2 linked regions of the Astyanax mexicanus genome follow. The protein of the gene in region 1 purifies or fractionates together with the protein of each later gene. This does not show direct contact. Links are inferred from orthologs where the notes say so. Each region holds a gene or a part of one and is shown on either strand. Other genes may lie near its edges.

The links.
Region 2: the proteins of vps45 (region 1) and rabenosyn-5 purify together in Homo sapiens (affinity purification with mass spectrometry; 4 studies listed by BioGRID and IntAct, counting the BioPlex papers as one, with this or other methods). This does not show direct contact. The link is inferred for Astyanax mexicanus from reciprocal best matches to the Homo sapiens genes VPS45 and RBSN.

The regions. Positions count from the first base shown.
Region 1 is NC_064410.1:49,924,684-49,941,211, forward strand, and holds the start of vps45 (vacuolar protein sorting-associated protein 45), read right to left. Parts: upstream 7,998-16,528; 5' UTR 7,747-7,997; coding exon 7,654-7,746; intron 6,072-7,653; coding exon 5,937-6,071; intron 5,462-5,936; coding exon 5,401-5,461; intron 5,295-5,400; coding exon 5,215-5,294; intron 5,081-5,214; coding exon 5,012-5,080; intron 4,825-5,011; coding exon 4,687-4,824; intron 3,956-4,686; coding exon 3,845-3,955; intron 3,479-3,844; coding exon 3,344-3,478; intron 2,704-3,343; coding exon 2,590-2,703; intron 1-2,589. Other genes in the region: zgc:153441 (retinol-DH_like_SDR_c domain-containing protein), read right to left, coding at 9,480-9,585, 9,890-10,094, 10,228-10,347, 10,545-10,706, 11,198-11,389, 11,485-11,619, 12,706-12,799. UniProt on the Homo sapiens protein: May play a role in vesicle-mediated protein trafficking from the Golgi stack through the trans-Golgi network.
Region 2 is NC_064419.1:14,640,546-14,656,293, forward strand, and holds the start of rabenosyn-5, read right to left. Parts: upstream 7,367-15,748; 5' UTR 7,217-7,366; intron 6,333-7,216; 5' UTR 6,220-6,332; coding exon 6,057-6,219; intron 4,714-6,056; coding exon 4,582-4,713; intron 4,269-4,581; coding exon 4,168-4,268; intron 3,618-4,167; coding exon 3,572-3,617; intron 3,483-3,571; coding exon 3,321-3,482; intron 2,846-3,320; coding exon 2,577-2,845; intron 2,032-2,576; coding exon 1,961-2,031; intron 1-1,960. UniProt on the Homo sapiens protein: Rab4/Rab5 effector protein acting in early endocytic membrane fusion and membrane trafficking of recycling endosomes. Required for endosome fusion either homotypically or with clathrin coated vesicles.

The sequences.
Region 1 (16,528 bases):
ACATGAATATAAAAATAATTATACATTAATGTGAAAACAATTAAGACTCCACAATAAATATTTAGTCCTTTATAAAAAATATGAATACCGTATTTTTCGGACTATAAGGCGCACCGTATTATAAGGCGCACGATGAGTGAACGGTCTATTTTTAGTGTTAGTCCATACACAAGGCGCACTGGATTATAAGGCGCACTAAATGTCTCTTAAGCATGTCTCTTAACTGGAGCCATTTCACGGTCCTTACACACACACCGTAAGACTATGTTGAAGCACAGTTAGTATTACTCCGCTATGCTCCTGACAACGGTAGCCGTAACGCTCCGACAGACCATAATATTACTATGTTGAAGCACAGCAAGTACCGTATTACTCCGCGACGCTCCTGACAACGGTAGCCGTAACGCTCCGACAGACCATAATATTACTATGTTGAAGCACAGCAAGTACCGTATTACTCCGCGACGCTCCTGACAACGGTAGCCGCAACGCTCCGACAGACCATAATATTATGTTGAAGCACAGCAAGTACGTATTACTCCGCGACGCTCCTGACAACGGTAGCCGCAACGCTCCGACAGACCATAATATTATGTTGAAGCACAGCAAGTACCGCATTACTCCGCGAGGCTTCTGACTATAATAGCGTGTTGTGCCGAATTCAGTGAATAAAACGGTTTTAAAACAGAGATAAAGATTGGATAAGTTTCATTTCTGGATGAAGTGATTTCCAGCGCTGTTTGGATATAACTGTGGATTACAGGAGACTGGATTGATGGATTCTCTTTAGTCTGGACGCGTTTTGAAGGTAGGACCTGTGGCTGAGCGCGGGTGTGTGTTCGGGGGGTGGCGGCAGTGACCGGAGGTTACCCCAGGACAAAAGGAGAGCCTTTTATTACTGGAAACATGCGCTCTGACGCAGCTTTAATTCATGAAACATACATCCTACAGTAAAAGCACAGTTCTGGAATCCGGAGAGCCAGACGGTTCGAATGGTTTATGACATGACCGCATTCGATGAAATATGGACGAACGATAAACGCAAATATGAGAGTTATGAATTATTAAAATCATAACCAAGGCATATTTCGCCCTAAATGTTTATTTTCTGAAAGGATATTCCGCTAAATAGGCTAAATAGCTCAAAAGCAGAGATTCTAAGCTTTAAATGGTATATTGGATGTCTATATTGAACCTGTAACTGTTCATAACTATTCAGAAACACAGCCAGTTATGAAATATTAAATATTTCTGGCCCGCCGGTGGGCCAGCGCGTGTTAAGAGGTTAACTTTACTTAGAAGTGGGCGCTAAAAAGAAACAGTTTGTGCTATTACCCCAGAACGGGTGGAAAGGAAAGTTTACCTGCACCTTGTTCTGGCCACGGAGCTACAGTGGAAACTAGCTACCCTGAGCCACAGCCGAGAGGCAGTACGGCAGTCAAAGGTAACCGCGCGCTAGCCCAAGAGGGGGATCTTTTTCTGGCGTGGGTGAGGAATTCTGCACAACAGAGCGCCGTGTACCACATAAAATCGAGGTCAGTAAACACAAGCAAAATCCATACACAAGGCGCACTGCATTATAAGGCGCAATGACGATTTTTGGGAAAAAATAAGTATTTTTAAGTGCGCCTTATAGCCCGAAAAATACGGTATATCAATGTTTGAACTTTTTTAACCAGACATCTCCCATGAAAATTAAACTTGTTTGTTCTCTGTCTGATAGTAGATAGTGTACTTTAACATAAACTGAGGTAATATCTAACTGTAGGTTCTGTGATGAATTTAGGATCTTATTTACACATATTGCGGTCTGCTACTGGCCTAAGCTTGCTGGGACAGCAAGGCCGGATTTTCTAACTGTTCTGAATTTTTTCAGATTCTATACCATCTACAGCCTTCTTTCTAAACGTCTCAAAGAGCTCTTTAGATCTGGCCAAAATCCTCTTCCCAAAAATCCTCCATAACCATGTTCTAATCATCTGTAGCTGATGTGGTGGCTTAAACTTTTTTCTAACTAAAATGCATTTTTATTTACATTCGCATATTTACATTTATCCAGGTTTTTTTTTTAATATATTTAACGTTTTTAAGCTTTTTTAGTTTTATGTCAAAATACTGTTGTAATGAAGATAATATTGTTGCTGTCCAGTGAGAAACATGTATCTCCAAAATGGTGACTTTAAATGGAATGTAAAGTGAACATATCTATTGGTCAGTTCATCCAAATTTATGGGGGTTCAACGACTGAGATACATGTTTTAACTGAACAGTTATGTTAAAATATATTAAAAAAAACGAAATAAAAGGATTTCATGTGGTGTCCAATTTTTTACAACTGTACACTGATTGGCCAAAATATTATGACCACTCACGGATGACATTTACAATCATGATTATCACGAAACACGTTGCACATGTCAAAATTTGGGATGCAGAACCACTATAAGGTTTACAAACCATTCATATTGTTTTTTTATTTCTACAGAAATTGAACTTCCTTAAACTAAATGAAGTTACTCCCTTAAATACATTATAAAAAACACTGTAGTTTTTAGATTTATTTATAAAACAAAATATCTTCATTCTTACCTTCATATCAGAAATAGACTCTAGTTTCTGTTGACCCTTCGGCTTCTTCTTCTGAAAGTCCTCCATTAAGTTCTTAATGTTTGTCCCAATCTCACCAAAGTTCAGATATAAGTTCTGTTTTAAAGAAAAGTAGTTCGCAAGTTTTCAAACACTTTAATGAAATCATACATAAGAAAATATGTATGCAATGCTGTAGGTTCTGTGATGAATTTAGGATCTTATTTACACATATTGCGGTCTGCTACTGGCCTAAGCTTGCTGGGACAGCAAGGCCGGATTTTCTAACTGTTCTGAAATTTTTCAGATTATATACCATCTACAGCCTTCTTTCTAAACGTCTCAAAGAGCTCTTTAGATCTGGCCAAAATCCTCTTCCCAAAAATCCTCCATAACCATGTTCTAATCATCTGTAGCTGATGTGGTGGATTAAACTTTTTTCTTACTAAAATGCATTTTTATTTACATTCGCATATTTACATTTATCCAGGTTTTTTTTTTTTATATATTTAACGTTTTTAAGCTTTTTAAGTTATATGTCAAAATACTGTTGTAATGAAGATAATATTGTTGCTGTCCAGTGAGAAACATGTATCTCCAAAATGGTGACTTTAAATGGAATGTAAAGTGAACATATCTATTGGTCAGTTATACTGGCACAGTAAATCTAGCTCAAAAATATTTCTTAAAGGTGCCACTGAGGTCATTCTAATAAACAGAGCTCTGAGCATCACTCTTACAGTCTAGTGTTACCCACATTGGCATAGAACTCATCGTTCTCTGCAGACAGCACCACTTCCCTCAGGTCTTTGCTGATGCCAGGAACTCGGGATAGGTCTATTCTGTTGTTGTTGAGACCCAGCAGCTCATGAACCATAGCCTGATATGTCCACTAGAGGGGGGAAAGCACACACATTCCAATTTGTTCCAATTCTAATGACATTCAGTGAATTTTTACATAACATAAAAATTGCCAGATCATAAAACACAACTTTAGAGGAGAGAACACCCCAGTGTAGGTCACATAAACATGAAATTGAGACCAAGTAATGCTTACGTTTCTCTTAGAAGGCCTGTCTATTAATAACTGCATTAAGTATCTATATATACAGTATAGAGCAGGAACACCGTTGCATAAGCTAGTGCCTCTACTGCCCTCATGTGATCACAGACAGCTGGGGCACAATGCAGGAGAAGGATGTTTAATATATTAGATGTTTTAGAAGTTTACGTTCAACAAAAAGAGGCAGGGACTCACCTGGTTGAGAAGGGGTGTGATGGCATCATCACTTCTGTCCAGAATCAGGAGTAGGGGAGGCACTTCTGTTTTTCTAAAGTCAAACAGCTCATATTCCTTGGTGATGATTTGCTATAGTAAAATAATAAATGCAACATTTTATAAGCAGTTTACAGGAATATTTAGAAAAAGGCATCCACATACCAAAGCATTTAAAAATGGATTATTGCCATAATCACATTATGAAGTCAGCAAGAGTAAACAGTAAAACGTTTCTATACTATTTTTTGTTATATACAGCTCTGGAAAAAAATAAGAGACCACTTCAGTTTCTGATTCAGTTTCTCTGATTTTACTATTTATAGGTTTATGTTTGAGTAAAATGAACATTGTTGTTTTATTCTGTAAACTATGAACAACGTTTCTGTCAAATTCAAATTAAAATATTGTCATTTAGAGCAGAAAATGAGAAATGGCTAAAATAAAAAAAAGATGCAGTGCTTTCAGACCTCAAATAAAGAAAACAAGTGCATATTCATAAAGTTTTAAGAGTGGAATAACTTTGGTTTTTAATTACCAGTCTTACACACTGCCTTTGGATAACTTTATGACACTACTGGTACAAAAAATCAAGCAGTTCAGCTTGGTTTGATGGCTTGTGATCATCCATCTTCCTCTTGATTATATTCTAGAGGTTTTCCATTAGGCTTCTCTCTAAGTCATTTAAAAACCTTCTATGCTTAGCCTTTAGAAGCCTTTGAGTTTCTTTTGCATTTTCAGTTCATGTTGCATCACTCTAAAAATACTTAAATGTTACAAGCAGTCTATATATACATATGAAAAACATTATTTATATTTCTTACTTTGACACTTTCAGCTAGTCTCTTAGCCATGTCAGAGGAGAGCTGGTAGCGGATCATGGGGCACTTCTTCAAGGCCAACAGTACTGAGGTTAAGCCCTGAGTGACACGTGGAAGAATAGTGGGTTCCCAGCTGCGACCCTAAAAGAAAACACACATACACACTACATGGGTCAAGTTGTGCTACACAGAGTGTCCATTTAAAGATCAAGTGTATTTAACTTCTACAAAAAACCCATGATTTTCCCCACAAACTGTGGAAGTTCATGACTTAAATGATCCAAAGCTAAAATATGTTTTTTTATCAGTGTGGTGCCTTGTCTCCTACCCTGACTACCCCTTGTAGGTTAAGGGAGAAGAGATGAGGGTTCACAGCGATAAAGTCTCCATAGAACTCCTGCAAGCAGAAAACAGAAACTGTATTAATGTAAAAACTGCATTCTAGATATCATTACTTATCTACTTACTGTATATACAAAGAAAAAAAAATCAGTAGGACATTGTTCTGCAGTGTTTAAATAGTTTACTGACCTGCACCTCTGCAACAACCTCCTGCTCATCAGCCTCAGCCAGAGCTTTCACTTCGCTCTTACTAATGACATTACTGAAATCTGGGGGAAGAGAAATACAGGCATCAATGTAAAAATAAACAACACTGTAAAATAAGGGCTTTGTACTTGTGTTAGCCTGTGAAAAGTGGAGTTTCTCATTACTCACAGATGAAGTAGACGCTGTACTTGGGCCGGTGCAACTCTTGAATCAGATTCTCTACATTTTCCTAAACAGAAAAGAATTTATCTCCATAAACGAAGCAGCAAACTGATAACATATAATCTATTATTATAATGCTCACATAGTTTATTTCCAGGCCTTTGCAAATAAACTAAATAATTTTATTAGTGTTTGTAAATAGCTAGCATAGCAAATAAACAAAAAAAAACAGGAATTGTGGCATGTGCTTTAGACAGTTTAGACATCTTATAAGCTCAACAACTGCTGGAACACTTCGTAGACAAATAGTTTTATTTCTTGTTTCTGATATTTTTACTTACTCAAAGAATGCTTTTAATTCTGTATTTTATATATATATATTTTTTTCAATTTACAGGTCCTCACTGGATAGCTTGTCTAACCTTGGCACTTGGCACAATTGCTTTTTATGTTTTTATACAGTAACTGTACCTTAGCATTGCAAAACAAAACAGATATGCACGGTTCTGACAATATACAGGGTATGGTGGTGTCAAGCATACCTTGGTCGGTCGCAGAAAGCAGATGGCCTTCAGATGTTTCATGTTCTCTCGGTTTTGGGAGTCGATCCGCTCGAACAGGTATACCTCTTTCTGAAGGATCTCAGACTGTGTGTAAACCATACTCACGATACTGGTCTATAGACATAAACACACACATTTACATTTGTAAAATATATAACATGCTTTAATACCATATTGGACAAAGAGTTTAGAGTCAAAATACAAAACACTTCAGTAAGTGTAAGATTTTTATTTTATTTAAAGGCACTTCAAACGGATTCTTCAGTAAAAATATTGCCATGACAGCGAACACATCTTGATGTTTGTCTTCCATGTGTCTTAAATAATGGCAGGTTACGTAGAGCCCCACTCAAGGGAGTCCGGTAACAGGTCAGGTTTTGATCATTCCCAGAGGAAAAACAAATCAAAAGGGAGATCTCCTTAATATCTCTGTAGTTTCTCCTACACAACAATAAGGTTTGATGAAAAGATTTTAGCATGAGACCCCGGCTGGTCAAGCATGTCTTCTGAGAAAAAGAGCCCAGTAATCTCACTTAAGCTTTAGTATAGATCTCAACGGCAGTGGTAACCCTACCACATTTGGTAGGGTTACTACAATCATTTACAAGATAGGAGTCTTAATACAAATGCAACTTTTTTTTTAATCCAAAGACAAAGAGCCTTCTCAGTTTTGATGCTGTGTACTAGATTTTACCTTCTACAATATTTGCTATAGTATGTACAATTGCACCCACACCTCAGGTGTTGTTTCTGCAATATGATTTTTTTTTATAATATGCAAAATTATTTCTGTTCAAGAAATAAAAGGCAAAACTGATTGGACAGATATTTGTGTTGAATTAATTAAATATGTTTGATCAGGGTTACAAAGCCTATACTCTTAACTTCTGAATTATTTTGCTCAGAGCCCCGAGACATTGAAGATGGGTTCGATACTCATGTTTGGTGGGTTGACAATAAATCTTCCCAGATCTAAAACCAGTTAGTTCCCAGTTTGACTTCTTATGTCTCATTTTTGTCTAATATTATTTCCTCTAAGCAATTTTTGAAGAAACATCTGTGTCTGAGTTGATTTAGAAATAAAACCTAAGTAAGAATCTCAAATAAATCTCCTGAGACACCAAAAATCAACAATTGAACAAAACAATTGTCCTGTGGGCTGCTATTAAGCAGGAATGGCTCAGCCCATTTTAGGCTTGGTATACCAGCATCAGTGTTTTTGCAGGAGTTAAAAGTAACATATCAAAGGATAGACAGTGATAAAAACATGACGACTCAATACAGGTTATGCTGTTGTGTTCTGGATCAGCTGCAAGGCCCTGATGGCACAAACACAGGAATACCAGCCAAGGAGAAGAGAGTCAGGTCTTACATGACAAGACACCGTTTACCAATCTACACTTATACATCTTATATCAGGAAAGGGACATGACAACCTGATAGATATTTGCAAGGCAATATACTGTTAAGACTCTCTGAAGTTCAGCACTATCTACTTATATCCAGTATTATGGGTGTACAGTATATGAGAAGATACGTTACTTGGTTAGCTAGTTAGCATGAACCCCTGTCTCTGCATCTGTCTATCTATCTATCTGTAAGCACAGCTGACAGTGAGAGGAATAATACATTACATTCCCCCTTCGTTACTCTGTGTTTCTGTAGGACTGAAGCTCGGGTATGAGTCTGTACTCACCGTCTCTTTATCCATTAGTAAAACCTTCATTCCTGGTCCGCTGCTTTCTATCATTTTGGAGACATACTGCTTCACAGCTAAAGTCACGTTCATCCTGACAGCAGTGTCCTTCACTCCGCCTGTTTATTTAACTATATAATTACTGATTATACTGTAGAATAACAGCTGAATATTAAACTGCGCTCACTTCTCTTCAGTATTAAATTAGCTCTACTGTTGACACCTAACAAAACCTCCGCTGAAGATCCCGGAGCAGTTCCGGTGTATGTGAACGGCGGTACGGCTGATCTGGGATCTGCTAGTTTTCCCCTCACAGCGCAGAGACAGCGAACTATGCAGCTCCACCACTGACCCCAAATCAGCCCCCACACACAGATATAGCCGCCCCACAGTGCACCGCGGCAACCCCGCACAGAGTGAGCACGCCGCCATCTTGGTAAGGTCTTCCATTCTAAACCAGTATTATTAACAGGCCAGGATTTTTGTTAATTTTCTGCCCGATATTACACCCCTTAATCTTGAAGATTTAATTTTAAACATTACTTAAATGGTCTTATGTTTGATAATAAACGTTACTAAAAATTGTAATTGTAATGTAAAATATGTAACAGTTAAATATGCAACTTTAAAATAAAATGAATAACAATCACTAAATTGGTCTCTCCTGAAATTAATTTTAAAATCAATATTTTCTTGAATACAAATCAAACATTTCATGTCCTGCACACCTTTAGCTTTGTTATGTGTGTCTAGTTTTTACATCTATTTTCAAACCTGCAGAATTTGGGTTGGTTCCTGTTACTGATCTGAAAGTATTAAGTGGAGTAGAGAGTGAACAGGCATTTAATGTAATATAATATAATTACTCTCTCACCCATTAGACTATTTCCTCACTTCCACACACATACTCTAGATATCTGCATATCTATATAGCATTATTTATATATATATATATATATATTCAGTTATATTTAATGTATATCCATGCAATGCAATATGTCTATATGTCTTAGGTGTAAGTTATTGTGTGTATTGTTATTGTGTGTAATACAGTAAAGTTAACTGTATATTTTTATTCAATTGTATTTTATTATTCTACTCTGTTGTCAATATTTGCATCTGCATACTAGTGGGAACCTGCACCCAAGTTTTTCACTCACAATAAAATAAAGCCATGATTTACTGAGTGTTCACTGTGTCCACACTACCCCACCTGTCAGATATGCTGAGAGCTGGAGCAAGTGTCTCAGCACTATTTTTGCGTACAAGTCTTATACATCCAAAATGGCAACTTAACAGGAAAATAAAAACATAAAAATCATGTTTATTTTTTATTCATCTTTGCCATAGTAATATCACTATTAATTACACAGTAATGACAACAGCTAACCAGAGCTAAAGTAATTTATACAAATTTTAGCCAAACTACTCGGTCACACGTAAAGATATAAGGATAGGCTGAAATCAGTTTTAACGGTGACAAAAAAAGATAATGTTCATCAGGTAGTGAAGTGAAAAAATGCAATTTTATCATGAAAAAGTGACAGTAATTTCAGATCTAAACAAATTAATTTAAAATGATTCTAAAGTTTAGGTACACAAGTGTTCTATATGATATGTTACAAATGACCATTTTCTTCATTACTTATTTTCCATTTCCAGTGTTTTATAAAATGTATGAAATCTGTTGTGACAAAAGCATGTAAAGATGTATTAATAAAGCAGGCACAGAGCAGACTGATTTTCAGCAGGAGCTCTGATCATTCTGCTGTAGGCATGTACTGGTGGTGGAAGATCACATCACTGGTTTGGGATGTTGCCTGGGATTAGTTCTCTTCTTTGTAGCCCACCAGCTTAGCGCTCACATCCCACAGCCTCATGGCAGCAAGGTCATCTTTAGCCTCCAGCGCTGGCTCCATCATCCGGCAGTCACTGCCATTACCAAAGATGCAAAGATCATTATCATAAAAATGCTTTTTAATTTTTTTTCTGTATCTTATAAACTAGGACTGAACTTATACATTTTATCATTACTTGCCTCTCTTTGTGCTAAAATTCAAGCAGTCCTGCTTTTTTTAATGGCTTGTGACCATCCACCAACCCTATTTAAACCTCTGTCAAGAGGAAGATGGATGGTCACAAGCCATCAAAAAAAGCTTAGCATTTTTAAGTGGTATCTTAATTTTTTCTGAAACTGTATAAATATATACTCACTTTTGGATTTTTATGAACTTACCTAAAGTAACAGCCATTGTATTTTTCCAGTCCCTCAGTGATGGTGCAGTAAATGGTAGTCTGAGCTCCCTGCTTCGGGGTCTTCATGAGGAGGATGGCAGGAAGGGACAGCAGGGTACTGACCACAGGATGGCGCATCTCCACATATCGGCCCAGCTCAGTGCGGATCACTCCAGGGTGCACGGAAAAGGCTGTTACTCCAGACCCTGCCCAGAAAATCAACAGGTACATATGAGCAAATAAATTATAAACTACCAAAAAGACCAAAAAAGAGTGGTGAACATGTTAAAGGCAAATTGATTTTTTTTCTGTACAGTTTGTAGGGAGAAGAATATAAACCTTTGATCCGCCGTGAGAGCTCTCTGGTGAACAGAACGTTGGCTAGTTTGCTCTGCCTGTAACTGATCAAGGAATTATATGGTGTTTTGTTGAAGTTAAGGTCATCAAAATGGATCTTTCCTGTAGAAAAAAAGATAGGAGGAAGTGTTTGACATAAAAAAATGTCTTGTTCATGTATGACATTAACAATATTTATAAGGGTGACATTAAAACAAATACAATCACTTGAAATATAGATATCTAATCTTCTGTTGGCATTTAATTAAAAATCGAACAAACAAATAAACTGGATTCTCAGTTTGAAAGGTCAGCCTCACCCCCTTTATGAGCAATGCTGGACACATTGATGATACGGCTAGGGGTCGAGTTCTTCAGCATGTCCAGGAGCAAAACAGTCAGAAGGAAATGGCCCAGATGATTGACAGCAAACTGAGTTTCATACCCATCCTCTGTGAGACTGTGGGGGCACATCATCACTCCTAATGTAGTAGAATAAGGGTCAATGTGTGGTCATTCAATTCAATGTAGTTCATAGTTTACTAGCATACAGTATATTTATTTAAGAACTTGTGTGTTCACATAGAATTGTTTTCACATTATGATTACTATATATTTATATATATATATATATCAAGTTAGATAGATAGATAGATAGATATGTTAACACTGTGTAGAGTAGCTGGAGATTATTTTCATAGCCATAGCCATGTACTTGTCAATAACAAGTCAGTAACAAATAGATATAGTATATATTTTTTGCATTTACAAAAAAACACAACAGGTAATCAAAACAATCTTACTTTCTATTGAAGTCAATGCAAAGTTATGTAAGTAATTTTTGATGATCTCTTTAATGGCTTTCTAAATGAATTGTTGACCCAATGTAAAAGAAGAACTGCCTGATGCACATGATGTAAAATTAAAAAAAAGGAAAAAAATAAAAATTCTTGCTTGACACCAATGGTCTCACCAGCGTTGTTGATGAGTATGTCCAGTCGGTCTTCTGTGGAAATATATTCATGTGCAAACTGACGGACTGAGAAGAAGGAAGCCAAATCTAAATGTCGGACCACCACGTTGCCATTTCCTGTGGAACGACGTATCTCTGCTGCAGCCTTCTCCGCTCTGGTGAGGTCTCGGCATGCCATCACAACTCGAGCTCCTGAAAACAAAACATGCCATCAGTTACATTACTAATTCTGTTTAATCTCTGTTACAGTTCCCAGCTGACTGGAAAAAATGTATGTGTGTTTTTACCTCTTTTAGCCAGGTCCCGGGCTGTCTCTTTTCCAATGCCAGTGTTGGCACCAGTGATGACCACTGTCCTCCCATCTAATCGCACATGGCTGTGGCATACTCCACCAGCAATCCACTTTCTCAGCAGAACCAAACCTGCATTTCATTTGGTGCACAGAACCATTAGAATTTGACACAAACTTGTCTTTATTTGGTTTAGCCTTTTGTGATGCCTAAATGTGATGCCTGGTGTTAATGATGTGCCACTTTTTCAATACAAAATAATGACATTATTGAGAATTCCGGGTAGCTATGTCATTACAATTGAATATTATATTTAAAAAAAACAACCGTCTATGTTGGTCAGCTGTGTTTCCTTGTTTCCCTGTGTGAATACAGCTTGGCAGAGCTCACAGGCAGCCATGAGTGGATTTGACAGACAGCACATGATGCAATGATCCCCCAGTTCTACTCTTACGATAAAATGTAATGTGTTTCCTCATTATCTAAAGATTTGTAGAAAGAGGTGAGACTGCTGTAAATGTAATTTCTAAATTTAATCTGTATCTCTAATACAATGAAAACAAATGCATTAAATAAAAACATGTATTTGTATACAATACAACTTGCAAATTCTGTTATAGTTCATAATTCACGTACACAGAAATCCTTTCATTTCCTGCAGTCGGACACATGGTGCCATGTGGAGCCGTAGACCTCTGTGCTACTAGCCTAACCAGATTACCTCCAATAATCTTCTCAAAATGGTGGGTTTAGTGTGTGACTGTGACTTGGTTAGGTTTACAAGTGTATCACACATTTCTGGTTCTGGGAGGAATTTGTTACATCCTTAAAGAAATGTTTCAGAATGAATTTTACACCGAACCAGGCCAGACTGGTGATCATATATAGAGTCAGAATTCACTTTTACATTTGGTACAAATAGAAATGTGTGCAGAGGACAATGCAAGGACTAAACACTCACTATTAACAGTAGCATTTCATCTTAAAATGCAAATTATCATTGAGTACAAAAATATAACCCATCTAGTCAAAACATAATCTGAATATGTTTACAGCATACATATAGTACTAATAGTTATAGTTATCAATAAATCAAGCATGTGATTATTTTCCATCCCTGAGTTATGTAACCTTCTCACTGCAAAACTTCAACACATTTTGAGGCATAATTAAACTAAAGCTGAACCATAGACTGAAAAAGAAACCAGTAGAACTCACTAATTGCTGTAGCTGCAGTAACTGCCCCGTATTTGGCCAAATGATTCGATTTCAGTTCTTCCCATAGCTGAGCAGCAGAGAGATAAAGATTCATGTCATCTGCTGAGAGGAACTGTCTGTGCTGTCCTCCACCAGAGCTCACTGCCTACCTCTAGCCTGCTCATTTAAAGTGACTTCTGCGCTGCAGTCTAGAACAGAGTGCAAGTAAGTCTAAGCCCCTCACACAGTGGCCCGGTTAAGGTTTTATAACAAGATTACACTAAGATCATGCTAGATGGTGTGGCTCATGGTGTAGCTTATGGTGTGGCAATTAGTGAAACAAAGAAACAGTGAAGCATAGCAAAGCAAGTGCTGATGAAAAGTGGTCTCAGCTGGCAAGAGACGTTGGCATAATGCATTATGTACAAATAACAAAAAAAAAACATGTTTGCTATACTGTTGCTAATCAGTTGATAAGTGGTTACAATTGTATCATAGATAAGTGCTATCATGTCTTAGGTGGTTGCCCAGGTATTGCCACATGCAAATGTGAAATTCGATTTCGACTATAGAAGGAATTCAACATGTCAATAATCCAGGATGTCATGATACTAATAATGCACTCCATATTCTAGTGCATCTCAAAACAATTGAATATCATTGAAAAGTTACTTACTCATATTATATAAATAGATCACACAGAGTGATCTATTTTAACTCTTTCAGACCCTGCGTCAATTAAATGGACATCATGTAGTTTCTTTTTTTAAATGTTTTGTTGCACAGAACACTTATAGAGACCTTTTGTTATCTGAATAAATCTAAACTAGCCAATAAAACAGTAGTTTAGCCTCGCCTACTGCACTTGAGAAATAACCACCAACTCAGACATAAAGGCAGGTCAGCACTACAGAATATATAAGGCAAAGTAATACAGGCTCATTATTACTAATTCTTTGTGATTTAAAATACTTTTTGTTATGTTTAGTAATTATTAATTTTATATTAGAATAGTAGTGTCTTATTTTGTGGGCAATGCAGACACTGTGAAGATGCCAGGATATGAATATTAATGAATATTGTATAAGATTGGTACTTTTGGCAGTGTGGGCAGTGTGCATAAAATCTCCATAAAAGTTGTCAGCAGAGGGAAGCATGGAGTGCTGTAAGATTTCCCGGGAAAACACTGCACTGACTTTGGACCAATAATACAGTGGATCAACACCACCAGATGACATGTCTCATATATGGCATTATATAATATTATTATTTTCTGAAACACTCATTTTGAGATTTTCACTGGCTTTAAGCCATTAACAAGAAAATAAATAAACTTATAACCTTTTCAGACTTGAATTATGTGCCAGTGATGAAAAATAAAAGAAGAATGCTGTTTTCTGTCTGTAACGCACTCCAAAAACAAATATTATTTGTATTTTTATGTTAATTTCAGTGTAATCATTTGTTTAACAAACATTCATTTGTTTATTTTTATTGTATACTTAGCTTTTATATAACGTTTTTATTTTATCAAATCATCCTTAAACCGTAAAAATAACTCATACCATGATTTATTTAATTTTGTTCAATGGAGTAGGCAGGAGTAAGTTGCTGTTTGATTAACTGATAAATGTCAATTCTGTTGGACAACAGACCTCAAAGAAGAAAACAGGTGTTGTCCGTTGCAATCGACGTAGAGCAGAGAGGCTGCAGGCTAGCTGCTAGCGTTAGCTCACTTACCTAACCTTACTAAGGTAACGTTAGTTAACCTAGCTAACTAACTAGCAGAATGGTTTAAACAGTGTCTGTGTTGTCTTTTGTTCAGATAATGGCGTTTTATTTTCAAAGCAAACTTGAGTTAACTTGCTCTACACAAAGTTTCAGTGGGTACAGACAGATATTTAAGAAAAGATTTTAGAAAAGATAGCGTAGGTTAAGTAGTTAGTTAGCTTAGCTAACCTAAGCTAGCTAGCTTGCTACAATTAGCCGCCCAAGCTTCTCTTTAGTAGCTAGTTAGTTAGCTTAGCTTAGCATTCCAGCATAAATAAGACGTATAACCCATATCAACACGTACGACATTAAAACCAAACGCTCATGGCGTACATATGAATACACACGCATCAAAGTTTAGTTCACATACAGTTTAACACTCTTTTTTTATTTTTATCTCATGTTTTATATCATTAATAAAACATGGGTAATTGTTAATAACATAGTTAGCTTAGCATTAGTGCTCAGTGTTGTTGAATGTTGGGATATTAAAGCACTTAAAACAGATTCTCAAAGACTTGGTTAGTCAAAACTAGCATGTCCTTTATTTAGTATCATTAATAAACTCTGCGTGTTTGGGTGTTGTGAATATTATATTTTAGATTTGATAATTAAATCAGTTTTGAAAAGGTTAGGAAACGAACGAAAAGCCCGCCCAATCCTAAAGCTCTTAGCCAATCAGCGTGTGAGAGGGAGGAGTGGAAGTGACGTTTTGAGGCGCTTAGCCTACCGCGGCGCGCAGCTCGCAGCCGGAGAAACAGCAGCGGGCTCCGATACTGCTCCTCTACCCGATGGCACAGAGCAGCAGGTACTGAAGTGTCTCCGCCACCGCGGTGCTTTACCGTGTCCGTGCACGCCTGAAAAATAGCATACAAGGTAAGGTGTGCATGCCCCGCCCGAGCTCAAAGAGAAATCGCAGCTCGTTGCTTTGGGAAGTTGTGTTGAAATCATGTAGCCTGAGAGGCTAGGCTAGCAGCTAGCCTGCTGTTTATCACAGCTGTAGGAGGGGCGAGGAAGCGCGAGTCCACATGCAGCTCGTAGCTCTGTTAGCATTTAGCCTCACATACACACAAACCAGCACACACTCAGCACACTGAGCACTTCTGCTGGAAACAAGCTACAGAATAGTTTGGTTGACATGCCACACACATCTAATACCACACTTTACACTTACACTTTTACATGTTATGATTACATTTTCATAGAAAACTTTGCTAAGCTAAGTTAGCTAAAGTTATCAAGCTCGAAAAATCGTATTTCCGCACTTTAATAAATTGTTTTCTCAATGTAGTAAATTGTTTCATTAGTTTATCAAAACTTTCCTCCAATGTAATTAATTAATTAATTAATTAAATTAGTTTTATTAGGTAGGGTAGAATTTCCCAAGCAAACGCACCGGTTAACTACGTTTTTCCAACATTGTTGTCACAACCTGACTTTTCTGACAAATAAATGTTACTTAGTTATTGTCTTCTAAATTCCAAAATAAAAGAAATGGTGTAAAACTTAAAAAAAAGGTTTCATACATTTTTTTTTTCCAAATTGTACACAATCAAAATTGCAGGAAAAATGATAAATTTAGACTTTTTAGATTTAGACTTTTTTCAGTTCAACAATTTACTTTTGTTGCAAGATGTAAAAATGTAAGAAAATGTCTTTTACATTTTTCCTACAATTCTGTTTGGGAAAGGCAGAAATTAAAATTAAACTTTACTTTACTAAATGAAAAAAGTGAAATGATTCAGTTTTACAGCTAATTTTCTATTTTTGAATTTAGCCTCAAGCAGTTAGACAATTGAACTGCTAAAAGTTACACTGACCAACTTAATTAGCCAGCCAAAATTATCAAGATCAAAAAATAGTTTTTTAAACTTTAATAAATTATTTCCCTCAGTTTTGTAACTAAATTTAATCAAAGCAATCAATAACATTACATTTTAATAATATAATAGTTTTGGGATTGTATTTTATAATAATTTTTATATTTAATAAGAGAAAAAAGAAAACAGCTTAACTTCCTATATGTTATACTGCAGCACAAAAAACTGACCTTGAAATCGTTTTTATGTCTACA
Region 2 (15,748 bases), on another chromosome or scaffold:
ACGGCATTTTCTGTAAGAGCTGTTTGTTCATGTATGATAATACACAGGGGCGTTGCCTGGGCTGGACTTACGGGGCTTTAGCGCTAAATACATTTCCAGTAGCCCCGAATGGTTTCGCTCAGCTCAGCTGTATTATTAGTGAGGAGACAGGTCGCTGTCCGCTGTGAATGAAAAATCTCTTGACACAAATCACAGAGCCAGTTCAAGGATAAAGTTCCGCCTTTCAGGAGAAACAGCCAATCAGCTTGCTGGTTTTGTAGGGAAGCCCCGCCCCAGCCCCCCCACGATCACTGGGGAACGATTTTTGAGAGTTCTTGAACCGGGTTTCAGCGCTGATGTCAAAACATATCTGGATATTTTCTAAAAGAAAGGTAACTGAACTAACCATGTAAACTGTGATGAGATTGTTTCTGATAGCTGGTTAAAAAGACTCGTCTCTGAATCAAAACACACAGATCAAGGTTTGAGGAAGAAAAAAAACTACACGTTATATTTTTAACTTGCCCTGATGTAAGTTACCTGATCAGCCAATAACTATTTTATTTTCAGGAGAATACTGTATTTTTATTAATTTAGGATTGCAGGATAACTGTAAGCTATAATTAACGAAAATGTATTTAGTTAACCAGTTAGCTAGAAGCTGGATGTTGTGGATAGCCAGAATTTAGTACTATACTTAGTTTAAATGAGTTTCCTAACCCTGGTCTCTGCTCTAAAAGTGTATGCTTTCCGCCGGATCAGCTGATAAACTAATATAATTAACTGGGCTGAGCCCCGGATTTTTACATACCCAGGCAACGACCCTGATAATACACATCAAAAAAACAGAAGCACAGCACTAATCAGGCGCCCATCCACTCCTTCCTAATCTACCCTCCTGTCACTTCCTGCCAAACACAGGCGCTTGAAAACGCGCCCCATAAAGAACACGCCTAGGCATTATTATTTTTTTTTTTGTCATGGCGCACCTGGATTTACAATATAATGGATCATAACAAGTAAGTAAGTAGATGGTGAATCATAAAACTAATAAGTTATAGAACAGGGGTTGCCAACGCTGTTTTTTTATTACATAACTGATATTCTTCATCTAGAAATATTTTTTTAATAGTTAGTAATAGTTATTTATGTAAGGAAAAGTGTGTTTAAAGTGCATATTTAAAAAAGCTAAGTACATAGAAAGCTACTTACACGTAATGCTGTAGCTTAAGCAGCGTATGTACCTTAACATGACGCAAGCCACCATACTAATAATGAGGCAGGCAAAAGGAAAGGAATGCTTATTAATATGAAATGGTATGATCCACTTAAGGGGTGCTTGAAATCATATCACAATATTCTTCCAGGCATAGATACGGCACTGTTTTTGTAGTTATTACCATTATATGTAAGACGTATACTTAAATGTTTTTACCCCTTTAGTCTTAATTGGGGGGGGGGGGGCTGACCCCTTGTAATTTGCACCCTGGTGGGGGTGCTTAATTCGGCACAACTCCGGCAAGCCCACTCAGCAGCGAGCACAATTCAACCGAACCGTGCCTAATGTGAGTAAAGGCTTAGTAACCATTTCTTTCAAATGCTAAAGTAAAAATTATTACACTTTTTGGTGTATATTAGACATTTTGAACTAACATTTAGTTTTTTGCCAACTGTTAGTTTTTTTTAATTGTGAAAGGGATACTTGAATAGAATTGAATTTGCAAAGTTGTTGAAGTTAAATAAGTAACATTTTTCCCTGAAGTTTAGTCACAGAGCCCAACCACAATGTATCAGAATGTTCACAACCCTATTGGAAACAAGAAAGCAAAATACTATTTCAACTAAACAGTTGACTTTCTGAGTTTCTAGCAGCTGTATATATAGAGAAGAGGCTACACTGACACTCAGGGAAATGGGCCAGTGCTAAACTTATAAACTAAATTTATGGTGCTGCTTACACACCAAAAGCAGGAAGACTTACTGGAGTGACTCGGCCATGCGGATGTACTCTGGAGCTTTCTCATCCACCTTGTCCATGCAGATCCTCAGTCTCTGCGAACAGGAAGACACAGGAGGACAAACTCAACATAAAGAAACAGCATAGCAATGGGAGGAAACGAATGGGAATTTTGCCAGTGTCAGTAAGAACAAAGAAAAATAAAAAACAATTAGTTTGAGGAAATCTAATCAACAAAGTGTTAAATCTTTTTCTAAATAATATCCAAAAAAACAACACCACATGAAAACTTTATAAAAAAAATGCGCAGAACAGAGCCAATTAAACAGACTGAACTGGATAGGTAATTGGGACTAGAATTGGGGCAAACATTGTTTAGTGTGACCCTGGATTAAAGCTCTTTGTGAGGATAAATGCAGAGAAGAGAAGCAGTCTGGTCGATATTTAAAGTAGATTTTGTCGTGCGCTAATCCAGGCGTAGCAATGTTAGAGTTGCTTTTCTCCCCTTACATGTCAGTGGAGCAGTACCATAAATAATGTGTTCTTTTAAGGTAAATGCGACACATGGCTGAAGAACAGCATAGACAGCTACAACACCTGTGCACACCATATCTGACCTCAGCTCTTATTCAGGCTGTACCTCGTAAAGTTTGACAATGTCAGGCACATGATCTTTCTCCTCCAGCTTGTGTTGGTGACGGAGCAAAGCTTCCATGCAGTGGCGGCAGCAGCGGATGCGGTCTTCATCTTTCTCCTCCAGCACGGAGCTGACTGAAGATAGGCTGCTGATAGAACCACGACGTGGAAGCTGCTGCTGTGGTGCTGCAGGACCTCCAGCACTTGGGGACCCCCCCTTCCCTGGACTGCCTGGCACAAACAGTGCCTCTCGGGTGCTGCTGGTTAGTTTACCTGACAACAATCATACAGTGTACTTTACATTATATATAAATATTTACGCACACAATCCTTATCTGTAATATTTGTATAAAAGCACTTACAAATTCAAATAAATACTTTATTACCTTTTTGTAATCTGGAAAGCTATTATCAACTGAATAGTATAGAGAGGTTTTAGAAAAACATATATGCTCAAATCCAGACAATTTCTTTGACAGGAAGGCATTGGATATTTCATCAAGAAAACGCTAAAGCACATACTGCAACCAACAGTATGGCTTCGCAGAAGAGAAGTCAAAACTCCAGCAATGGGTGCTCCTCATTTCACATGAGTTTATAGATTGTTATTAAGGAAGAGGAAACACTAAACCAGTGGTAGACATGGCCCTCTCACAACAGTATTAAAATAATATTTAAAATATTTTTTTAACATTTGGCTGAAACATCTGCAACTCTTGTCTATGAAAGTGTGCACAATGCAACTTACAGGCCAGCGGCAGCGGCACAAATTCCATACACTTCCTGCACATGATGGATCCACAGAGCCGGCAGTGATGGCGTCGGTTCCTGATGTTGAACTTGCCACCACAGTCGGGGCAGAACGGTACATCGTGATCACTCACCCACGGCACCACTGACTTCTCCAAAGCTGAAATTAAAATAACAATAATAAACCATGTTTTGGTCACAACACTGTAATGACCACAGTAACAATATCTTTTCATCTCTCTGCCCCACCTCTTATCTTCCCAGCGTCCATGTTGGTTCTGTCGAAGGAAGTAAGCTAGAAAAAACAAAGACATGATTTGGTTATTATTTACGTTGCTCGAGTTATAGAATTCAGTTCATATCAATTCATATCTAAGGCTATGATGATCTGTTTCTGTGTTAACCCTTAACCCTAATGCATGTGTGCATTAATTTATACAGCTACATACTGATGTTTGGATTGGTTTGTTGCTCAAAAAGTTGTCTTCCTTTTATGTTTCTTTATTCAACGGGTTTGTGGCTAGTAAGTTTACAGCTGAAATGGTTTTAAAGATGCTGAATGAAAAGGGAGTTACAGGAATGGACTCAATTATACAAAATATAAAATGTTATTAGAATGTTAAAAATGTTTAAAAAAAGGAATTCCAAACATGAACACACTATAAATAGTTATTATTCTTGACCAAAATGACAAAAAGTGACATAAAAATATTGATTCTCACACTTATGAAAAGGTGTAATAACCAGTCACATGACCAAACACACTAAAGTTAAATTGTTAACCAAACCACTGACACAACTGTGCCATAATTAAATATACATAGTATTTTTTACAAAATATTTACCTTCTCCAACCTAATGATTCGCTTGTTGACCTCGATGACATAATGATCAATCCTGGCAGCTCTGTGTTTCTTAAAAAGATCCAGGTGACTCCGAGTGGCTCCTAATCAAACAGAATGAACTAACTTAGACTTGACTAGCCAACGTATAAAAAAAATGTAAGGTGCGTTTTATTAGGAAAAGGAAAAGACAATACTGAAATAATAAATGTCAACTGATGACTATGCAATAGTTTCAGCTACAAATAAGTTTGTGACATTGTGAATTCATTCATTCAGACTTTTTTTTTTATTTTTTCCTTTTCTGATATTATCAGTCCAACGTTTCTATCGGTATCAGAGAAATACAAAGTTCTCCAATTACAATGTGCCAGGTATATTGTGCTCTGTCATTAGCAGTAATTCCCTCAGTCTCACCCAGTTCCTGAGGCTCCCACATGTAGGGGTCCACTCCTCCACAGTAGAAAGACTCATAGCTGGTCTCAGTTCTCTCGTCTCCATCCCGTTTCAGAAGCTTGTCTTTGGCCTTCTTTGCCTTCTGCACTAAACCTGAGTGACAACATAGAAAATATATCAAAGTGATTCCTATAATAGAATAGTGCACCAGTTGTGCTGGTACTGTAATGACTGGTAGTGGAAGTAGTGGCAGTCAGAAGTATAAATGTACCGAAAACAAGCTTCAGACTTGTTTATTTTATCAAACGAGAACTCAGACCGCAGCCTCTGGCTTTACCACATTACAAAAAAAAAAAAAAATCACAACAAAAGTAAGAGTACCTCAGGGGACAACTTGGGAAGACCCACATTGGTTTAAATTGTAAGGTGTTTATCTTGTGAGTAAAGCCAGCTTGGTAACATGAATTATGGAATTTCGAGTGAGGTCGGCAGTACTGGTACTGGTAAGAATGAGAATATTTTTAAATAGGAGTGCCACCGGGGGCAGTGTGTTTGCACAGAACACAGCGTAATACCAACGTTTTTCCCGACAGTCCTCAGTTTCTACATAAAGTACACGCATAAAGCCAAATATGGAATTATTTAGCATACGAATCTGACAGTCAGATAAGCCATGAACATCAATACCCGTCTCTTAAGTATGTTTTATACCTGCAGACCAGACGAGAAAGACGAGAAACAGCTCCAAATAGCAAAGCATCTTCTACACAGAACTGCAGACTTGTTTTAATAATTCTGAGAATTCCTTTATTGAATATTATAGAAAACAATTACATCATGCTTATATCCTCTAAAATAACTCAGAGGAGTGGGAGTGTTTTTGTGTCTTTTTCAGTAGGCTAATAACTATGTTTTTTTTTGTTTTTTATTTTTTTTAAATAACCACTAATAGGGCTCTCTATACAATTGGACTGGCCCAAACTTCCTGTACCTTAACTTTAAGAAAAACTAAAAATAATAATAAAAATCAGGCACTCTCAGCTGTACTAGTAAATTTAATCATGGCTCATATATAATACGAATTTCTATTGCTAGGAATTGCGATTACCATAGATGTATAATGCCATAATATCATTAAAAGATTAATCAGTGAGTTCTACTTGCAAATACAAAGTTAACTATCAAAGATATTTCAAAGACCTATTATGTTCTTACTAAAGAGAAAAGGAAAAATAAATAAATAAAGATGTTAACAATGATGTTTATTCTTAATGTATTCATCTTTATGTTTTTTTTCCTTTTTTAATTATAAATTTAAAAAACAAAAAATAGCTTAATTTCTGACATTTTTGGATTTTGCTTTGAAATACGTAGAGATATTTAGAGGAGTATCTTATCAAATATCATAATTTTGGTATTGTAACACTAAAATCTGTTGGCCAAGTCAAGCATTGATTGAACCACTTAACCAAGGTAATGTATTAAAAAGCACTTACTCTTTATTTGTCCTCCAACATGGTGGCTGTCTCCAGAGTGCTCCTCCTCATAGTGGTCCTGCAGCTGATAGAAAGACTGCAGGTCCTTCAGACAAAGAGGGCAAAGGAAGCCCTCCTTTACCTCAGCTGAGCCTTCAAACGGAGGAGGGTAACTAGAGGCCATGGGTCAAGGGTTGAACAAATGTGCTGGGTGTACTATGGCACAATGGGTGATATCCAAAAGCTCATAGCATATCTGACTGAAGGCAGCACACACTCCAGACCTTCTCCATCACTCTGAAAAGAGAAATACAGTAAATATGTTAGTAATTAGGTATCATTAATAATTAGTTACAGCACACACAAAGGAGTCTATATTCATCTCTACTGTTGTTTAAGACCAGACCCTGCTAATCTCTTCTTTTGTCTTCTCTATCAATCAGTGTTAAACCTTACAGCTTCAGCATTCAGGATCAGTATTTACTCATAAAACATCTGAATATCATGTTTCTTTTTCTCCTGTTTACTTATTTATTTATAGAAACACAGAAAATGCAGAGATAGTCAAATAAGCAAGAGGTGCTTCTTTAAAAAAAATAAAAATCTAAAACATATTCTGGTTTGTTTAACACTTTTTTGTTTACTAAATAATTTCAGATGTTTAGATGACTTTGGTATTAATATACAATACAGAACATTTAAAAAACACAGAATTTAAGGTGTTTTCGAATTACTGGTACTCTAAGTCTTATTTAGAACGACAGACGGTGTGTACTAATATAGTTAGCTACGTTAGTTAGCTAACGATTAATACCCGATGAGATTTATAACGCGTTAACAAAAGCTTAAACGGTTAGCTTAGCTTGCTAACGTTAGCCAACTAACCTAGCTAGCTGCGTGCAGGTTAACTGGGCGTGTATGAACGCTGTATTATAATGATAATAAATGAGCTCGGACTGTTCCGACAGTCCTGAGAGATTGTAGGATAGTACATTATAGCGGTTAAACGTTTTAGAGACAGTAAAAAACCTTCAGTAACGGCACTGTGTCGGAGCTGATACTGTTATAACCCCCGTTACAGCATAACACAGCAGCAGAGCCGCGGCGGAAGGAGCCTCCGCACAATTTAAACACGCAATTACACCGGCGTACAGTCACTCAGAGCCGCGGCGGGGTCTTACCGCAGTCCGCTGCGGCTCCGGGGAATGGGAGAATGTGTGTTGGGGCGTGTAAGAGTGTGTGAAGTTGCAGGAGGTGAAACTCAGCTCGACAGCAGCAGCAGCGCAGCCTCATCACACGGTGGGTCATGTGACCCACGTTCAGTTGATACGGCAGCTCGGAAGGGACACTGCGATCAGGCAGAATTGCCAACAAAATGTGTTCTATGTTAATCTGCACTTCTTATAGGATAATGACTGCTAACTAAATACATGAATTGAAACAACATATTTAAGGCAATTTACTTGAAAAACATTAACAAAAACTTCAAAATCAATGTAATAATTAAACAGTGCATATACAGTAGCGTGAAGAAGTATTTTCCCCATCTAAAGATTTTGATACGGCAGCTCGGAAGGGACACTGCGATCAGGCAGAATTGCCAACAAAATGTGTTCTATGTTAATCTGCACTTCTTATAGGATAATGACTGCTAACTAAATACATGAATTGAAACAACATATTTAAGGCAATTTACTTGAAAAACATTAACAAAAACTTCAAAATCAATGTAATAATTAAACAGTGCATACAGTAGCGTGAAGAAGTATTTTCCCCATCTAAAGATTTCTTTTGTTTTTGCTTTTTTGTCATACTGAGATTTTTCCAATTATCAAACAAACGTTAATATCAGATTAAGATAAGAGTAAATATAAAAAATGATGAATGAATTGAATGATAATTGTATTTACTATAGGGAAAAAAATTCCAATCCAATCTAGCCCTGTGTGAAAAAGTATTTGCCCTCTTGACCTAATAACTTGATTGGTGGCAGCAACTGCAATCAAGCTTTACAAATAACTGGCAAGGAGTCTTTCACATCTCTGTGGAGGAAATTTTGTCCACTCTTCTTTTCAGAATTCAGACACACTGGAAGGTTTTCGAGCAAAAATTTTCTGTTTAAGGTCATACCACAGCATATCAACCAGACTTTGACTAGGCAACTCCAAACCCTTTAAGTCACGTAAAATAATCACAGCAGTCCAATTTCAAAACACCACAGAGAGTAGTCTGCCCCGAACATTGGCATAGGAACCGGGGGGATATTAGAGACAGGTGGATTTGTTTAACTTTGGAATTAGATAGATAGGTATTCAAGGTTTAAGGAAAAAATAAACTATGTAATGTTCAGCTTGCCCTGATGTACCTTATCAGCTAATCACTATTTCATTTTCAATTTGTGTTCATTCATTTAGGATTACAGGACTTACTGTATACTATAATGGGAAAAAAAGCTAGTTAGCTAGCTGGATGTTGTGGATGGCCAGAATTTAGTCCAGTACTTTATGTCTGTAGTTTAAAGCAGTTTCTTAATCCTGGTCTCTGCCCTAAAATTGTGTGTTTTCCATTATAGAAGTGCATAAAAATTTAAAGCACAGGATCCAATGCTAATATGTTTCTTTTTAAAGATTGAAGAAAATGTAACTATACAACAGAATTGACCTGCCAATGCATAATAATAATAATAATAATAATAATAATAATAATAATAATAATAATAATAATAATAACCAAATCTGTTGTTATTATTTTAACTATCGGGTGATAACTGGCATATTTTTATAGAATTATCTGAATTATCTTTATATATTATCTGGTGCTCACGACTTAGTATGTTGTGCTCACGACTTAGTAAGTGGTGCTCACGACTTAGTATGCGGTGCTCACGACTTAGTATGTGGTGCTCACGACTTAGTAAGTCGTGCTCGCGACTTAGTATGTGGTGCTCACGACTTAGTATGTGGTGCTCCAACTTAGTATGTGGTGCCCACGACTTAGTAAGTGGTGCTCACCACTTTCTATGTAAAAAGAAAAATACACCACGTCCCTTTAGGGGCTCCGTATAATTCAGACATTGCACGCATATTTTTTTTTCTAACAATAGTAAATGTAATGTGGAGTAACTTGTTTAGGTTGTAAAGTCACCTTTACTTGGATGTAACTAATAATAAACAGAAAAAAGGGATTACTTGTAATTAAAAGTAATTCCACAAATGTTGTTTTAGGACCCTATAGGGTGGCTCATACGCCCTTGGCCCCGACCACCCCTAGCCAGACACAAATTTAGGACGCTGAATCTATACAAAGTAGGAGAGACGGAGAACTTAGAATACAAGCGAGCGGAGAGAGGAGAAATACGGCAATTCTAAACTCTTCTTAAACCTGTATCTAGCGTTATATTGACTGTATGTTACATGAGAGGGACCTAAAGTTACATCATGCTGTATTTGACCGCCAGAGAGAGATCTACCCAGATAGCAAGTACTTTGGCCCAACATTGGCAAATGTCGCCTATGTCACACGTAGAAATTCGACGTCAGAGCAACGTTGGTCTGTGGTTGGCAGTATTTTTAGAACGTTGGATAAAGGTCGTTAAGCAGCGGAGGTCGGCGTCAAAATGCCAACGTTTTTCCAATGTCAGTCTCACTTTGGTCTTTAGTTTATTCCCAAACTGTCAAGTCTCACACACGAATATTGGATCATGGCTCCTCCATGGCTCGTGTTCACGGAAACAAACAAAAACCCACAGACAGACACACAGGGCACAGAACACACACACACCGCAGCTTGCCGTGTTCCAGTCATGCTCCAAAACAGGTGTGTGCATCCAAAACAACGTTGGCACTTTGACTCCCATCTTGTTTGTGTGTGTGTGTGTGTTGTGTACACGGAGCACTTCAGCTGTCACAGGTGAAGTCTAAGCCTTTAAACCAGGGGTGTCAAACTCATTTTAGCCAAGGGCCACATTGGCATATTGGCTGTCCTCTGAGGGCCAGATGTAACTTAGAAATGTAATAAAATGTAACCAAATGTAATATAAAATGAATGTAATTACTCCTTAATGTTAAATAACTCTCAATATATTATTTATTCAATCAAATATTACAGTTGCATGGAAAAAATGTTTGCTTGTTGCTCTATTAACATAAATCCTTTTAATTTGTCATGTTATGAAATCCAAAAACTCCATCAATCAAGAACCAAACTATTCAAGTGAATATAATGACATCAAGTTATATTAACTTTGATCAAAACGTTTGATATTGAAATAAGCCTTAATAAATATAAAATAAAAAATTGTGAGCTGTTAAGAACATGTGACAGATTTTTGAACATGTGACAACTTTTCTTTTTCTGGACATTATGGGATAAACATTTGTATGTCTCAATTACACCCGCGAAGTTACGCCTTCCCTCTGGCAGGGTTTCCACATCAATGACTACACTGCCGTGTAGTGGCAGTAAGCCGTAACTTCGCGGGTAACACAATCGACAAGCATTGTAGGAAATGTAGTTTTTGGTCAAAGCACGCTTCTGACCTATTTATTATAGACACTAACATTTTACAAGCTCTCGCGGGCCACATAAAAGGACGGGCCTTGTGTTTGACACATGTGCTTTAAACCATGCACAGGCTGTACATGAAACAAATGCTGAGATTCTGAAGCGCGTGGTCATTTACACGCAGGGAAAAACGACCGTTAATTCAGGCTTGTGTGTGTTCATATTTAAATTAGTTGAAGCTGAATTCACCTAAACGCAGTTGGATAAACTCAAATGTAGCGGGGTAAGGTTAAATTAAGATAATATATAATAATTTATAATATAATGCTGTTATTCAAAATATATTTTAAAGTATACAGTATATACAGTTGTGGCCGAAAATGTTGGAATATATATATATAGAGCCAAGCCAAGCAATAGTTACATCAAGTTAAATATGTAACATTCCTTCTACATAATCTCTTTCTGTTTATTTATTTATTTTTAAATCAAATTAACAGAAATACATTTTGTAGAAGGAAGGCAAAATATTTCAGCTTGATGTAATTATTACTTGGCTTTTAAACTACTTTGCACTAACTAGCAATAAATATGTATAATTTTAAAATGTAAATAATTCATTTAGAATAGTCTTCTTTTTCTCTTTCAGTGACTGACTCCATGTCCACTGGTTTTTTTTATATTAGTGTTAGTTATGTATCACATACATGTTTTTTCCACTTCAAAATACATTCAGTAAATTATTTTAGCAATCATTTATTGTTGTTTTTTTCACATTCTTGATGGTTATTTAATACGTAACATTCTTTTTACATTCAGTTATACATATTTGTGGGCTAATAGATTTTACTATATAAAGGTTTACAAAGCCCTTGTCTTGCTAATGTTAACTGGTCAGAAGCCAACATTAGGCCAACCTAGGCCAAACATCAAACATTGGTTGACGCCCAACATAATTACTGTTTACAAACACTGTCACTTTAAACCGCACTGAGACGTCAAATATTGGTTGACACCCAACGTCAAACCAACGTAAACAATGACGTTGAGCCAACTTACACTTGCTATCTGGGTAGTTTCACCCCTGTGCTCCACACAGACTCTGCACTGTACCAGAGAGAGATCTAGCTTCACCTCTGTGCTCCATGCGGTCTCCGCGCTGTACCGGACAGCCTGAGAGAGATCTAGCTTCACCCCCATGCTCCGTACGGTCTCTGCGCCGTACCGGACCACCTGAGAGAGATTTAGCTTCACCCCGCGTTATCACCCCCCCTGCTCCGTGCAGACTCTGCACTGTTTCGAACTGCCTGAGAGAGATCCGTGCGGACTCCGCGACATACCGGACCGCCTGAGAGAGATCTAGCTTCACCACTCATGCTCTGTGTGGACTCCGCACCGTACTGGACAGCCTGAGCCAGATCTAGCTTCACCCCCCGTGCTCCCTGCAGACTGTGTGCCGTGCTGGACCTGAGAGAGATCTACCTTCACCACCTGTGCTCCACGCTAACTTCATGCCATGTCAGACACTGTGCTGCAAATGGACTCCGCTCTGTAGCGGACTGCCCAAGAGAGATCTTGCTTTACCCCCGGGCTCCAGGCAGACTGCGCTCCGTAACGGACCGCCTGAAGATTCTATTTTCAACACCCTTGCTCTGCACGGACTCCATGCCGTACCGGTCCGCCTGAGAGAGATCCGTTTGGACTCCGCACTGTATCGGACTGCCTGAGAGACATGCGTCTGGACTCCTCACTGGACCGCCCGAGAGAGATCTAATTTCACCCCCCGTGCTTTGCATGACCACCTGAGACAGACCTAAGCACCGCCCAGGCTCTTCACCTTTGAGACAGCTACACCTTGCTAAGCTATCTAGGTCTCTCAGATACCCTCTGCCCTGTTATCCCAGCTGCACACAGACCATTAAAATGAATGTGAACACTCAATTTTTTTATTTATTTGGAACACCAGTTCCAAGTAAGCTAACCTGGTGGTTGCGATAAATTACCTGACTGATTTAGCTAGCCAGTTATCTTACCTGTTCAGGAGAAAAGTATCTAGCTCTGGGTTAGTCTTGTAGTCTTTCTGAGCTCTAAGTCTCCACCTTTCAAAGTTACTGTCTGCTCTGCTACTCTGCACTCTAGTCTGCTGCTCTGCTGGTGTGCTGCTGTTAGCTTGCTCTACTCTTGGCCCTGCTCCCTCCAGGTGGGTAGATGGCACTCTCTCCCCACATCACTCCTAGGGTGATGTCCACAGCACAGGGCGTCTGTGAGCTGATGTACTGGAACCGAGGCGCTGTGCTTTCATTTGAGCGCACTGGCTGCTCGGCAATGCTGCATCAGCAGCAGCTTGAAAAGAAGCGGTGGCTGACTTTACATGTATCGAAGGAAGCATGTGTTAGTCTTCACCCTTCTAGTGTGTTGGGGCATCACTAGTAATAGGGGGAGTCCTAATGTGTGGGTTGGGTAATTGGCCATGTAAATTGTGGAGAAAATGGGGAAAAATATATTACAATAACAATTACAAAATTACAATAAAATTATATAAAAAAAGGTACTCTGGTTATAGGAGACTCTATAGTCCGACACGTGAATTTAGCTACTGCTTTAGACCAGAGGCAACAGTTACTTGTTTACTGGGACCCAGAGCACCGGACATTAGTGGCAACCTTAGGCTGTTAGAGAATAGGAGATATTCGAGGGTAGTAATTCATGTAGGGGCCAATGGTATTCGCCTGCGGCAGTCTGAAGTACCTAAGGGTAATATTAAAGAGGTGATTAAACAGGCCCAGACGGTGTCCGAGGAGGTAATCTGCTCTGGCCCCATCCCAATGAGGCGTGGTGATGAAGCTTGCAGCAGGCTTTCTTCGCTGAACCACTGGATGTCCAAGTGGTGTGCAGAAAATCATGTGGGCTTTATAGATGGCTATACTTTGAAGACAAGCCTGGTCTTTTAGGTAGGGATGGTGTCCACCCCACGCAGGAGGGTGCTGCCTGACTTTCATGCAGCATAGCTCATAGTCTTTCAGCTAGTCGGCAAAGTAGTGTTAGTGCTGACAATCCAGAGCCAGGACCAGGCCACAGACAGAGAGGCTTAACCGACCGTCTGCGAGCTGCAAAGAGAAGTTACCAAGATACCAATGAATTCAGAATGTGTCTGTCCCCCGAGTCAAACAAAAATGTCAAAAAACTGAAACAGTCAATCCAAATAACTTAACTTATATTAAACAATCACATCCAGACTGTAGCACTAACACTTCAAACCTAAAGATTGGTTTACTTAATATTAGATCTCTAAATTCAAAAGCAGTTCTAGTGAATGAAATGATAACTGATCAGAAATTCGATGTTCTGTGTCTGACAGAAACCTGGATTAGGCCAAATGAATATGTAGCATTAAATGAAGCCACCCCTGCAGACTATAATTATTTACACAATCCGACCCTAGTGAAAAAAAAGTATATTAAAGTATACTAAACATCATTATGCTATAGTGCACTAAAGTGTACTTGTAGCTGCACGATTAGTCAGTATGCTTAAAGTGTGCTAAAATGGAACAACTATTTTTGTACTTATTATACTTTTATTGTATAAAAATTGTACAAAAGTTCTACTTAATTTGTTCTAAGTGTACTTAACTGTACTAAAATGGATCTCAAATATACTTAATTAACATTTAAATATACTACTTCATGTATGTAACCCCTTATTTTAAATATGCTTACAGTAAAATCATTATACATTTAATGAGTATTACAATAGTATCACTATTATATACCAAGTATATTAGCAATGCACTAAAAATTGATGTTAAATATATTTACATTAGCCTTCAAATATGCTTCTTGTTCCTGTCTTTTGTGAGTAGCACACTTCTAGTATACTTTGCTGAGTATAAAAATATATTTTAATATACTGTACTACAATTTTTATTTGACATTTAAAATGTATTTTAATTTAACTAAAGAAAGACTAGACAATGCAGACTATTGAGTTTTAAATGTAAATGTATTTTAAGTTAACTTTTTAATTATACATTAAATACGCAAATACATATGCAGAAGTGTTTTGAATCTATTAGCTTATAATGTCATTACAAATGTATCCATTTCAATCAGTATATTTTGTTACAGAAAATATATTTTAAGCTTACTTCATTGTTATATCATGAATACAAATACATAATATTTAAGTTTTCACTCACTGCTCATACTTATTGTAAAAAGAAACAAGAATAAACGTATGCTGATTAATGCAAACATTTAATTGTACATCTTTGCTTGACTATGCAGCACTCCATTACAAGTGACCACAGTCTTAGGAGAAATTAGCAAGTTATTACAGCAACAGCTCACATCAACACAAGTGAAACATACAAACAAACCGTATTTTCTAAACCTTTTGTTTTTTTATCTTAACGTTTTCAGCAAACAGAGATCTAACTAACTCTCTGTAGGGGCATGTACTTAAAGGACAAATGATAAAAATAAAACTAAGAAATATCTTCCCTTTGTAACTTGTTGCAACAGTTCCAATGCAATCTAAATGAAGTGGCAAATGTTTTACATTGTCCAATTTATATTGTCACTTGATCTTAATCACCATTAATATTGCACTATTATCTTCTGTCTCACAAATGTCTATTGTGTTTTTGTTGTATTGTACATATAGTGTCTCCCACTCATTTAGATTATATTTTTATTTCTTTTTATTTCTATTTATATATCTATTTCACCCCCACCACTACTGCACCTTGTTTTTGTCTCATGTATGTCTATTTGTGTCCCTGCTGCTGTATTGTACACATAGTGTCTCCCCTTTTTCTTTATTATCCATTATCTGTACTTGCTGTAAAATTGGGAAGGAGAGTAACGTAATTTCAATTCTATGTATGTCCTGTACATATGCAGCATTGACAATAAAACTACTTGACTTGACTTGACTTGACATAAACAGCATCAGTCAATCAGTTTTTTTCACTGTGAACTGCTCATTGTTGCATTTTCTTCTTATTGCAGTCCGCACATCTGAGGCTGATGTATTGGGAAATTCTTCCATTACTGCATCTGTTACAGAAAACAAATTAATTATACTTCAGCTTACACATACCTAAGAAAATTGTATCATGTGTATTGTCTTACAACAGGAAAAAACCTCTGCTGGTATTGTACTGCTTTTGGTACTTGGTATTTTGGTAAAATAAAATCTAGAATTCA